Xenopus tropicalis: one gene and its partners. The protein of the gene in region 1 interacts with the protein of each later gene in a pairwise test. Links are inferred from orthologs where the notes say so. Each region holds a gene or a part of one and is shown in the gene's direction. Other genes may lie near its edges. The genes, in order: drg1, rwdd1 and zc3h15.

Region 1 (4,042 bases):
AGCATCATTTTTACCGACCACACCGATAAAATACTTGCCAGGTGGCAAGCCTAGAAGAAATAGTAAAGTCGGTAGATGCAATTTATATTATTCACGACTTTAGAATAGTATATGAAAAGAGCTATCATAATTCCAGAGCTGTCAACTCCCCCATACATTGTACAAGTGCAAGTACCTATTTTTTAGGCTTTGGCTGCACATTTGCACATGATATCACTTCTGGGGGCGCACACTCATGGATCATTCACTTACAGTCTTTGGAAAAAAATTTCAGGGGTGTGCTGGCCCATCCCCCGGACAGCATATTTTGAACGTTCTGTAATTATTATTTTTATGCATTATAGGACACATTAAGGCAGGGGTCGGGAACCTTTTTGGCTGAGAGAGCCATAAACACCACATATTTTAAAATGTAATTCTGTGAGAGCCATACAATATATTTGGCCGCGGATGCTGCGGGGCAAGTTAGGGTGGGTCCAAAGGATTCCGGATGCAGATGCGAAGCAGAGGAGGGTGTGGCCTGCACTCGGCGGAGAAAAGACGTGTTCTAAGGCTTAGAACACATCTTCTATCCGCCGAGCGCAGGGGCAAGGTAGGGTGGGTGCCAAGGATGCCGGATGCGATGTGGAGGAGGGCGTGGCCTGCGCTCGGCAGATAGAAGACATGTTCTAAGGCTTAGAACATGTCTTCTATCCGCCGAGCACAGGCCACGCCCCCCATTATTTTTTTTTATTAAGGATTTGACAGTGAGCCAGATGCAGCCAACAAAAGAGCCACATCTGGCTCCCGAGCCATAGGTTCCCTACCCCTGCATTAAGGTATAGGACTCCACACTGGCATGAAAAAAATAAAATATTCTATTTCAGTATATGTTTATGAAAAATAGCTCATTCCCAAGGTTTAGGGGGGGGTCCCTAAAATCAATTTACTGTGAGGTCCAGCAACTACTAGTTACACCACTTTTATAAAAATACTCATTTATACATTTCTATATTTTATATAATGTTTTTGCAACTTTCAGATTGGACGCACAAAACGTCCAGTAAGACAGCTTTTACCATAGAGTAGGAAAATCTGCGTCACGAAGGGCTATCCTCAGCTAAAAGGAAGAGGCCGAACGTACGTGTGTGACGTCATTCCTGCCGGTTGTTGTGTCTGCGCATGAGCAGTGGTGTCCCTGCGAGGTCCTGTCTTTTCTGTTACTGATTCGTGCTGGAAAAGCCACCTAGTCAAGAGGCACAATGAGCGGGACGCTGGCTAAGATCGCCGAGATAGAGTCCGAGGTGACTGAGACACTTGGAGGGTTAGCGCATATCGACTTGTTGGGGACATAGTTGAGAGCACGTGTGTAAGGATAATCACTGGGATGAATGGTTATGGCTGAAGCAGCTGTGTGGGACAGTCATGGTTTATGATAACATAAAGGCAATAATGACAATAACCTGTGCCAGGTATGACAGTGACACGCCTGCTTTCTGTCCTGCAGATGGCCCGGACACAGAAAAATAAAGCCACAGCTCATCACCTGGGTTTGCTGAAAGCTCGTCTTGCCAAACTAAGACGTGAGCTGATTACCCCAAAAGGAGGCGGCGGAGGAGGACCTGGAGAAGGTATATCAACTACTATCTGGTTGCCAGGGCCTAATTACCCTGGCAACCATGCTGTGTTTCGCAAATCGGGATTTAAGAAGAACAGAAAAGAAAGATAATCGAACATAAGAATCTCTTGGTTGAATCTGTTTTTTGATTGCCATGGCCAGTAACAATAACCAGAAAGTATTTTTTTGCAGGCTGAATCTGGCTAGATTAGAAATAATAAGTAAAACAAAAACATTTGTGTGTGTGTATATATATATATATATTTTATAATAAATTCCATTTGAATTCTTTTTGGAATAAGCCCCTTAATAAAATACCAAAAGGTAATTAAAGGCAAACTTCCACTTTTACTAAAATTTTAACACTGGGTAGTCACTGTTTCCATGTACATTATTAATAATTTTTTTATCTTTTTGGCTTATTGAAATAAACAAGATGCATAAATATGGAACCTGGTTTCCTTCCTCAGTGCCACGTTTATCACTATGATTAGCATTTCTGAATCCAGCACCTACCTTATTATGTTTTGGTGTAGGGCGTCAGTCATGAGAACCTAAGACATAGATCATTAAACATGTTTGTATAACCCCTGTAACAACCACCTTGATACCCAGTAGCCTCCTGATTTTGAGAAGCATGTTACTTCATCTGCACATTGGCAATGTTGGGGAGATGGCAATGTTGGGGAGATGTACATGAATGAGTACAACTTCTGTGTTTTTTAAGTAAAAAAAAAAAAAAAAAAGACTTTTTTCAAAGTTACATTTAAACATCTTAAAAGGCCTTTGGATATGGCAAAAAATCCTATTGGTTTGGGTTATTTGTAAATGTTGTCATTTACTAGACTTAAGCATGGTGCTTCAAATTACTGAAAAATCCTAACCTGTATAAGCTCAACTGTGGTACCTACTGTTGAATATACCTTTGCTAATCAAGCCTATGTTCTCCCTCACAGAGCTCACAGATAAATTGTCTGCTTTAATGGTTCTATTTTCAAGTAGTGGTACAATATCTGTGGGACTGTGATTGGCTTTAGTTCTTACTATTACAACTATATATTTTTTTTGCTCTCACATGTAATATAAGCTGTTAGAATGGCCAAGAGCACAAAGGATGATGATTTTTTCTGATATTTTTGATATGTGCTGACAGTTTACATGTATGATTTGTGTCTCTTACTTAGGTTTTGATGTTGCTAAGACAGGAGATGCTCGAATTGGGTTTGTTGGGTTCCCATCTGTTGGGAAATCTACACTACTCAGTAACTTGGCTGGAGTTTATTCTGAAGTGGCAGCCTATGAATTTACCACCTTAACAACAGTTCCTGGTGTTGTGCGATATAAAGGAGCAAAAATTCAGGTGTTTGTTTTACTTATATAAAATAATTAAAATAGCAGCTTATTTATCAGAGGTTAAGTTGAAATACAAAATCTTAAAAAAAAAAAAAAATAAAGGCTACTCCATTATCCAGAAACCTTGTTATACAGAAACTGCTGAATTATGGGAAGGCCATCTCTTTTAGACTTCATTATAAGCAAATAATTTAACATCCTCTGTAATAATAAAACTGTACCTTGTTCTTGATGCAAACTAAGCTGTATGAATCCATATTGGTGGTAAAAATGTTTAATTATATTAGTAGACTTAAATACAGAAATATCCCTTTTCCAGAAAATCCCAAGCATTCTAAATAATAGATTTCTATTGTCTCCTTTATTCTCTTTCAAAAAGTGCAGGCTGAAACCTGTCAAAATCCAGTCAAAACATTAGTGTGTATTTCAACTGAACTTTTTCTGCACTGAAGTATTCTCAACAGTTTCTTGATTTTTTTTTGAATTTTTTTTACTAAAATCAACAGAAACCTGTGTAAATATTGTGCAGTATGTTTTCAAGCATTTTCACTATGGTGAAACTTGAGTGTAATTTAGAAAATGTAACCAGCAAATGATAAATGTGAGCCTAGAAATGCTCTGTAGCATTTTTCAAGAGTGTTGTTTGCCAAGAAATCTCAAATTTGCTTTAAATGTTGCCCTTTAGACTCCAAAGCTACAGGAGACATTTGAGATAGTATATGACATTTTCATTTGTGAGATGGATATGCTCTGAATGCGGAGACATTAAGCTCAATGACCAAAGATGGTATATTTTTGTTTTTAGTTGCTAGATCTTCCAGGCATCATAGAAGGGGCAAAGGATGGAAAGGGCCGTGGTCGCCAGGTGATTGCAGGTAAGATCTTTAATTTTTGAGGATTGAGTCTCCTAGGACGATGGACACATTTTTACTGCTGATGTATTTTTGTTTTGTTTAGTGGCACGAACATGTAACTTGATCCTTATTGTTTTGGATGTACTGAAACCACTCGGACACAAGAAGATCATAGAGAATGAACTGGAGGGATTTGGAATCAGATTGAACAAGCAGCCTCCAAACATTGGATTTAAGA
Region 2 (4,234 bases), on another chromosome or scaffold:
CTGGGTATGGCGCTCATTTGTGCACTCCCTAACTTGCGTAAACACTAAGGGCCCCAGAAGCTCACCTCTTAGCATTTATTTAAAAAGCACTTGTGTCTGGGGTTTGGCTGCACTCTGCACCAGATTAGAAATCTGCTGCTAGGTGCTGACAACAAAGGGAATATTTATCTAAATGTGCATTTATAGTTTAATACTTAATATCTCACCCATGTTCTATTCATTCCTATTTGATTTTTAGAAGCATTTTTATTAATGGGCGAATGTTAGAGTTCACTATTTAATAAACAGGCTTCTAAAAATCCCAAATGGATGAACACAAGGGATGAAAACATAATTTTGCCCCTTTATAGGTCTCTGGTAAGGTCTCACCTTGAGTATGCAGTGCAGTTTTGGGCTCCAGTCCTTAAGAAGGATATTAATGAGCTGGAGAGAGTGCAGAGATGCGCAACTAAACTGGTAAAGGGGATGGAAGATTTAAGCTATGAGGTGAGACTGTCGAGATTGAGGTTGTTTTACATTAGAGGAATGGAGCTTCCATTTGAAGCAGCGTAGGTGGTTTTTCACGGTGAGGGCAGTGAGAATGTGGAATGCCCTTCCTAGTGATGTTGTAATGGCAGATTCTGTTAATGCCTTTAAGAGGGGCCTGGATGAGTTCTTGAACAATCAGAATATCCAAGGCTATTGTGATACTAATATCTACAGTTAGTACTGATGTTGGTAAATATGGTTTATGTATGTGAGTGTATAGATAGGTCAGTATAGGTTTGTGTGTGTGCTGGGTTTACTTGGAAGGATTGAACTTGATGGACTTTGTTTTTTTTTCAATCCAACTTAACTATGTAACTATGTAGTTTAATGTGTAAAATACTCCCGGTTAAAGATAAACATATAACCATCCACCATAGATACCACTGCTATATACGAGTTTTTTTTACAGCTTAGAACAGTACTCGTCATCTTATACACTACTAGTCATTTTTACAGGCAGTTTTGTGGGAACTGACCCAGGACATGCAAAGTTAGAAAAAAATAGTTCTGAAAATCAACTCTGTTCAGATATAACCAGACAGTTTAAACAAAAATATTTGCAGTTTGATACATTATACATATATACATTCGTATGTACAAGGAACCAGCTAGGAGCATGACTTACCCGGCTGACTTCACTCGTGATTACTGCAGTGCCTATAGTACTATCTAGCCTATCAGATCGCACCCCTGCCAATGTAGACTTGGGACTTGTAGTTTATTAGGCGCTAGAGAGCAACTAGTACAGACCGCATCCCTCTGGCAGCTCTAGGGTTAATATGGACCCATGGCGATGCGGGGGAGGTGCCCCAGGCCAGGGGGAAGCAATCATTCCCAGAGAAGACGATCCTTTCCCGAGCGTGACCGGCCCGGCTCCATAGTCAGGGGCTGAGCGCTCTCCTTGTTTCTCTGCACACATCGCTCCATGGCCCGCACACCATGACGGACTACGCCGAGGAGCAGCGTAATGAGCTGGAGGCTCTTGAGTCTATTTATGCCGACTCCTTTACTGGTGAGCAGCGCTTGAAAACCGGTTCCTTTCATTGAGTGCTTGCACATCCTGAAGCCTTCCTTCTGAGAGTAAACTACAACTCCCAGAATCCCACGGCATTCGATGTCTGCGAGGTGTTGCTGGGTGTTGTAGTCCAGTGGGAGTTGGGTTAGACCCTGACTGATGGTTGTTGTGAGGGAACTCGTGGGACCCATTGGCTAACATGAGTTTGACAGTCGGACGCTAGGCCAGTGAAGCGCACACGTAGGCCTGTCTGGGTCAGGAGACATTTGTCGCAGTTTGTAGTGTATTGAATTGTAAATATAATGACTACGTTGTGATCCGAGCAGACCTTAGTAGCGCCTGCTGCTTTTAAACTGCAACTCTCAGCACCTGTCTGTCTGGGGCTACAGGGCAACTAGAGAGAACGTTCACGTTTCTTTAATGTAGATTCAGTAATAATGGGCTGTCTGTTACCCTAGCTTATGCACTATATGTAATAAAGCTTAGAAAAAATACCTTCTGCACCAAAGAGGTCCCTTTTTTAACTTTTGTGAAAGTACAGACCCCATATGGTGGGGATGGAATGCCAGGACTGCATGCTGAAGATCAGGATATTTTTTTAAAATCTATAATTGTTATACTATTTTTTTTTTTTAAATGTTTTACATTTTAAAGGTCCTGATAATACACAGTTTGGAATCTCTGTGCATCAGTTGGATTGTTGTAGTCAAGACATTTCCCATATTTCATAGATTGTAATCACTTCAAGGAACTTGCATAGTATTTACCCGCACTGAATGGTACCCCTGTTTGTGTTCACACCTTGTTGCAGCCCCTTATTTCCACAGCAGCATAAGGTCTGCAAACTCTATTGTTGCAGCACTGTCAGGGCACAGCCTCAGCTTTTCTCTGTCAGCAATAAATTGCATTGGTTCACATTGGCATGCAGATATCCGCTGTGTGTGTCTGCACACAGGCCGACTCCATTTCAGTGGGAGACGGCAGAGCGGATAGGAGTACGTCGGCAGATACTGCACTTAGTATGCCATTAATCTAAAGCTGGCCATACAGATGGTCGCACAAAATATCGTCAGATCCGCAACACACCATTCAGGGCTGAATCGGCAGGTTAGGAGGTAGAAACAATAGGATTTCTACCTCCTTCTGCCGATTCAGCGCTGAAGGGAGATTTTGGTCAGGCGCCTTCTATGGCGCCCGATCAAAATGTTCAAACTGGTCCGATCGGCGAGTCGGCCGATATTGGCAGCTTCCTGCGATATCGGTCGACTCGCCGACATACCATACACGCACCGAATATCGTACGAAACGAGGTTTCGTACGATATTATCGGTGCGTGTATGGCCACCTTAAAGGTGGCCACACGTAGCAATTTCTATCTTCCGTGTGGCCATTGGTTGCAGTACTGAATCATACGTTATGGAGGTAGAACCAATAGAAATTCAACCTCCTTCTGCTGATTCAGAATGTAGGTTTTGCTCGAGCGCCTTCAATGGCGCCCAATCAAAATCTTTTAAATTGCTCCATTGACGAGTTATCCACAGCCTTTTTCGATATCGGTCACCTTGTCGAGCCACCATACGAATATCGTACGAAACGAGGTTTTGTACAATATTATTGGTGCGTGTATGGCCAGCTTAAACCTGCTATTTGAAATGTCCACAGCCAGTTGTGCAATAACAAGTGTGTAGACCCCAAAACCTCTGTAGGAATAAGGGACTGTGATAATGGTCTAGAAAACAGATGCTGCTTCCAATGTGCCATTAGCCTTAGCGAAATTTAGATAAAGGGTTGGTGTCATGGCTATGTAGTGTGAGCAATGGCTCTTATTGTGAGTGTGTTTCTAGAATTGCTATATTCTAAAAGCAAGTAAGCCAGATGTTAAAGGTGAGATCATATATTATGTGTGAGATATATCAGGAATAAGCAAGATTTTCTTTAGCTTTTGCCACAGCACCACCAGTTCATCTATGGTAGTTTTGCTAGGTCTGTATTGTCAAAGAGATGTCTTCTTCTGGTTCTCTGTAAGGAAGACATGGAGCAGTGTAAATGCATATTTCTACAGTTTGATTCAAGGAAATATATTCTTGATGATAATGTTCATTAAAAAGCTATGTTAAATGTTAATATTAAACTTATTTCTGTATTATTCTATTTGCAGTGTTATCCACAACTCCTACAAGTTTTTCCATCACAGTAACATCAGAAGCAGGAGAAAATGAGGAAAGTATGTGTCCTTTTTATCATTCAGAGATGGTGAGGTGACTAGTCGTATTATCAATTTTAATACAGTGAAAGTCTGTTTCTGAAATACAACTGAAACCTTTTAGACCCCTAGCACATGGGATGTTTTTGTTTTTTTTTGGCAAAGTCCTGTCCGGGAGAACTTTGGATCTGTAGAATCTTATTAGCTGGCCCCTGTTTTTCACTTACTTGAATTGTAAATGTGCTGTTTGGGGCAGATACTTGTACCAGGCTGGCACTGTGCGTTTATCATTTCTTCTCACAGAAGTGTCTGCTATAGACAGTGTGTTTCCCATTCTGCTTAGTAGGAATTGAATACCAGCAGAGAAGGGTGTTTAGATCAGTGGTTCTTCCTGAGAGAACTGCAGTTCAGTGTTGCACTGGTGAATGGTTTTAAGTGTTATAAATTGTCATTTCCTGCCTACCTAAGATTTTTAGTTTCTTCTTTGT
Region 3 (4,249 bases), on another chromosome or scaffold:
GTAATCATTAATGCAACTGTACTTTTTATTTAATTGTAATGGTCCCTACTTGTTTATTCATTTATTGTTCTGCTGTACAGCGCTGTGTACATACGTAGTGCTATATAAATTAAAATATACATACATACATACTCATGCTGGACTGTGCAGGTAATATTAAACGCAAGAAAAAAAATTTGTGGGCAAGCATATCCCTAACAGAAGCTGTAACAATGCGTCAAATCAATTGTACAGGCAGCAGAGCACGGACTAATAAAGCTATAGGGGTACCCAGTGTACTTTAATTTACAACTGGTGTTGCCACCTGAAATTTGACCAGTCTAGCTAGTAAATCATCAGCTAGGGCTGGGGAGTTATTACAATCATAGAAGCAATGTACTTGCCAGTAAATTTGTAATACCCTATAATATCTTTCTCCCCGCTGCCCCATTCCCTTTATAAAATCAGACTTGTCTCTGCTTTGCCCATTTTCCCACTTTGCCACAAGTTTTCCATCCCATCAAATCCATCATCCCACCTGCTGAACTAATGCAACTGATCCAACAGTAGGTATTATGAGGGACAAAAGGTGACAATCCTAACTACACTTTTAGAGTATACTGCCTCAAATTCTTAATGCAACTGAAAAGAAAAATTATAGTGCTATATTGAGCAACAACCGGTTTTAAAGCCACTGTTTTGAAGCCACTGTTTTAAAAACCTGAATTAGAAGTACCCTGAATGGTTACCTAATGGAGTTGTTTGTGTACAGTAACTCCTCCGAGCTCCTCTAGTTTTCTAGCACTCAGTTCCCAATAAACCTACTTGGAAAGTCTAGGTGACAGCTAAAACAGCCTTGCCTACTGCTGATCTTTCCTGTGCGATCGGATTCGTCCAACATGGACTCGTAATAGCTGTGACAAATCCAAGGTCCAGGTGTATAATTTTCGGATGAGCTTGTACAAATCCCGCATAAAAATTGCCAGTATAAAACACTGACTGATGCGCTTGTAATTGCTCTGCGCCAGTTGGCATAATACGAAAACTTTTTCTTAAATTTTTATAAACTAATTCATACTTCTAAACGTAACGACAAAGTGGTTCATAGTTGATTGGGAGCGAGGAACTAATCATCTGAATACAGAAAATTGATTAAAAAAAAACCCAAAACGTTCACTATTTATAAGCCAACACCAATAAACCAAATCCCACACCTGTATAAAACACCTGCTCCATTAAACAGTTACAAATTCCACGCTATCCACATTATTTTCCCAGATGTAACGTTATTTTGTTTTATAGCAAAAATCAAAACTAAAAGAATTATATTATTTGGTAAATGCTACATTTTTATTACGTAAACGGAACGCACAAAGTTGATTCTTGTTATCATGTCGTGCGAAATCTCACGATAGTTAGACGGGAAATTACGTCAATTGAGCACTGTATTGCGCCGTAAAGCGAATGTTTTTTCCACGAGTAACGTTGGGTTAGTGCAGCGTGTCTTATAATGCCGCCTAAGAAAGCGCCGGCAGCACCGCAAAGCGGCAAGAAAACTGAACAAAAGAAAAAAGAAAAAATTATTGAGGTAATCGTATATGTATTGTGTTTGTAATAAACGCATACATGTTACGTTTTTTTAGATTTAGTTGCGAGTTAACATGGCCTTCCTCGCCGGAGTCTCTGTAAAAATATTAAATAAAAAAAGACAATTTCCCTTACCCTCCTGACTTAATAATGGTAGGATTTTTGATGCCTGTAGCAATTATACGTTCTTGAAACATTTTATAATATAAGTACATTATAACAAGCAAAGCATTTTTTCCCATGATACAAAAATAACAATAGTCTTTTCAATTTCGAAACCTAAAAGACCTAAGAATACTGTAAAGGCTGGCCAGCACAATAAGGGCTAAGGAGGAAAGGATGGTTTTTGGATTACAGGGAATAGTACAATTCTTAAGAAAAGCTGATTATTGTAATAATAGCATTAAAAAAAAAAACTGTTTATGTGACATTAGTATTGCTATTACTTTTTGTAATTTTTATCCATATTATCACCACTATGTTCGGCTGCTACCCAGTGGCCCCTTCAAATGAAAAGTATATCAAAAATTCAGATTTTTACTTTATTGCACATGTGCACAATCCTGGGCAGCTTTACTTTACATATGTGTGGTCCTGGACTGCTAGAGGGGCCTTGGCAAGCAGGTAAAGATTGTTGAATTGTGCTTTTAGGAGTTTATCCCAACGTACTTCTCCGTTAAAGGGGTGGTAACTTTTAGTATTTTATAGCGATCCTAATTCTAAGCAACTTTTCAATTAGCCTTTGGTTTTTAATTATTTGCCTTAGGCTGATGCAACACGTGGCGTTTTTACGCTGCATATTTTCTCAGCCTAAAAACGCCGAACAAGCCACACAGCCCCTGACTATGGCGTTTTTCAGCCTAGTACTGGTGATGTAGCAAATCCCGTTTCCATGGTGCTAATAGTGCGAAATAGTAAAAAAAGCCGCGTATTTCCGCTAGGTCTGGCAGCTGCCTTTGTGTATACATAGGAATAGGTTGCTGTGCAAATACTTGCGTATTTCGGCAAACGCTTGAAAAATCCGTGGTAAGGCTACAAATTTATTGCTATTGCTACTTTTTAATACTAATCTTTCTATTCAGGCCTTCACCTATTTGGATTCCAGTCAATGCATGACAACCAGATTGTTTAAATTGCAAACTGGAAAGCTGCTAAATAAGTAAATAAATAACCCAAAAACCATCAAGAACGAAGACCAGTTGAAAGTTCTTAATTCAAAGGTGAAAAACCCCTTTAAAATAGCACTAGCCTGACGAAATAGTTAAGCAATAGTAATTGATCACTAAAAAATAGGTACCCCAGTGATTGGTACTTTCCTTGTCTTTTAAAGGGGAAGGAAAGGTAACAACTAAGTAAGCATTATCAGAAAGGTCTATGTAAATACAGCCATAAGCACTCACAGAAACACTGCACTCTATCAAAAGTCCTCTATCAAAAGAAACACAGGGTTTCTTGTCTCCTTTTTTGTAAACATGTTGTTAGGGTATCTGACTTCCTCTCTCAGAAAAATCCTTCATTCCCAGGGCATGAGATTGGTGGGAATATGAGGGATTTTCTCTAGTTAATGGCCATCCCTTTACATTTTCCAAATTAATTTGAGATCCGATGCAGTGGTGGGGAAGAGGTAAGATTTGCCAACAGAAGGATATCATATAAAAAGCTATTTTCTACTCTGCTACCCTCAACCTAAGCCCTTCAGTCTGTGGAGTAGAATGTGTTGTTCATGGTGACACTGACCATTGTTGTGGCCTTGAGGCCATTGTAGAGGAGCTTAGCTTTACAACCATACATTTATATTGTATCTCTATTAGGAGAAAGCACCACAATTAAATTGTTGTATTAAACTTTATTGAAAAACTAGCAATAAGTACACCTGTTGTATTGCACTGTATTCAGTTTACTTTTTTGAATGATCAATAAAAGAAATGTTGGAAATAAAAGAGGAGCTCTGCTTTACACATTTTACAAACATTTTGTCACTGCTTAAGGCAGTCATCGTTTTGCATCTGTACAACCATCATACACATCCATCAAATGCCCTGTTGGCATCAACGTAGCCATCAGCAGTATTTTAGCATCCTAATTGGCAAAGGAAATCACATTGGAATAGTCTTTATGCAGACTATCATCTCAGGAGGTCTGAAAGATGTTATAGCTGAATTGTAAATATTTAGTAATTTGGATATATACCAATAGACGCTAAGATTTTCCTATGTAAAGTGATGATGACATATATTTCACTCCAAAGTTAATTAGTGCTCCTTGCTTAGATTAGGGAGTGAGATTTCATGCAGGAAGCATCTTCAAGAATATAGTCTTGGGTAAGGTGATTCAAATAACTCTTGGCAATGACAAATGGAGCCACTTCTTATCTTTGATGACAAAAATCCCTTTCCCTTGCGGGCAGTAGAAATTGCCATAGGTAAAGCGCAATGCCACCTTATGCATTATTGCATAATTATGCAGGTGAGGTGTTGTGTATACAGTTATTAGCTTCTTTGGTATATTGTTTGTTACCTTGTGGGATCTTTTCTGCACATCATAAATTTGCCTCCTTTGTTTCTGTATTCAATGATTTTATTTTTTGTTATCTTTGTCTTGGGGGTTTGATGTTGCTTATAGGTTTTCCCAGTAACAATAATTTGGGAATTAATTTTGGAGGTTAAAGGAGAAGGAAAGGTAG

What was found.
Region 2: the proteins of drg1 (region 1) and rwdd1 interact in binary tests that used the Homo sapiens proteins (3 or more experiments, as listed by UniProt). The two-hybrid records come from large-scale screens. The link is inferred for Xenopus tropicalis from reciprocal best matches to the Homo sapiens genes DRG1 and RWDD1.
Region 3: the proteins of drg1 (region 1) and zc3h15 interact in binary tests that used the Homo sapiens proteins (3 or more experiments, as listed by UniProt). The two-hybrid records come from large-scale screens. The link is inferred for Xenopus tropicalis from reciprocal best matches to the Homo sapiens genes DRG1 and ZC3H15.

Annotation. Positions count from the first base shown.
Region 1 is NC_030677.2:152,071,818-152,075,859, forward strand, and holds the start of drg1 (developmentally-regulated GTP-binding protein 1), read left to right. Parts: upstream 1-1,176; 5' UTR 1,177-1,241; coding exon 1,242-1,283; exon of another isoform or gene 1,284-1,303; intron 1,304-1,486; coding exon 1,487-1,610; intron 1,611-2,781; coding exon 2,782-2,957; intron 2,958-3,755; coding exon 3,756-3,825; intron 3,826-3,907; coding exon 3,908-4,042. UniProt on the Homo sapiens protein: Catalyzes the conversion of GTP to GDP through hydrolysis of the gamma-phosphate bond in GTP. Appears to have an intrinsic GTPase activity that is stimulated by ZC3H15/DFRP1 binding likely by increasing the affinity for the potassium ions.
Region 2 is NC_030681.2:74,869,731-74,873,964, reverse strand, and holds the start of rwdd1 (RWD domain-containing protein 1), read left to right. Parts: upstream 1-1,383; 5' UTR 1,384-1,467; coding exon 1,468-1,540; intron 1,541-3,701; coding exon 3,702-3,767; intron 3,768-4,234. UniProt on the Homo sapiens protein: Protects DRG2 from proteolytic degradation.
Region 3 is NC_030685.2:45,954,576-45,958,824, forward strand, and holds the start of zc3h15 (zinc finger CCCH domain-containing protein 15), read left to right. Parts: upstream 1-1,384; 5' UTR 1,385-1,489; coding exon 1,490-1,567; intron 1,568-4,249. UniProt on the Homo sapiens protein: Protects DRG1 from proteolytic degradation. Stimulates DRG1 GTPase activity likely by increasing the affinity for the potassium ions.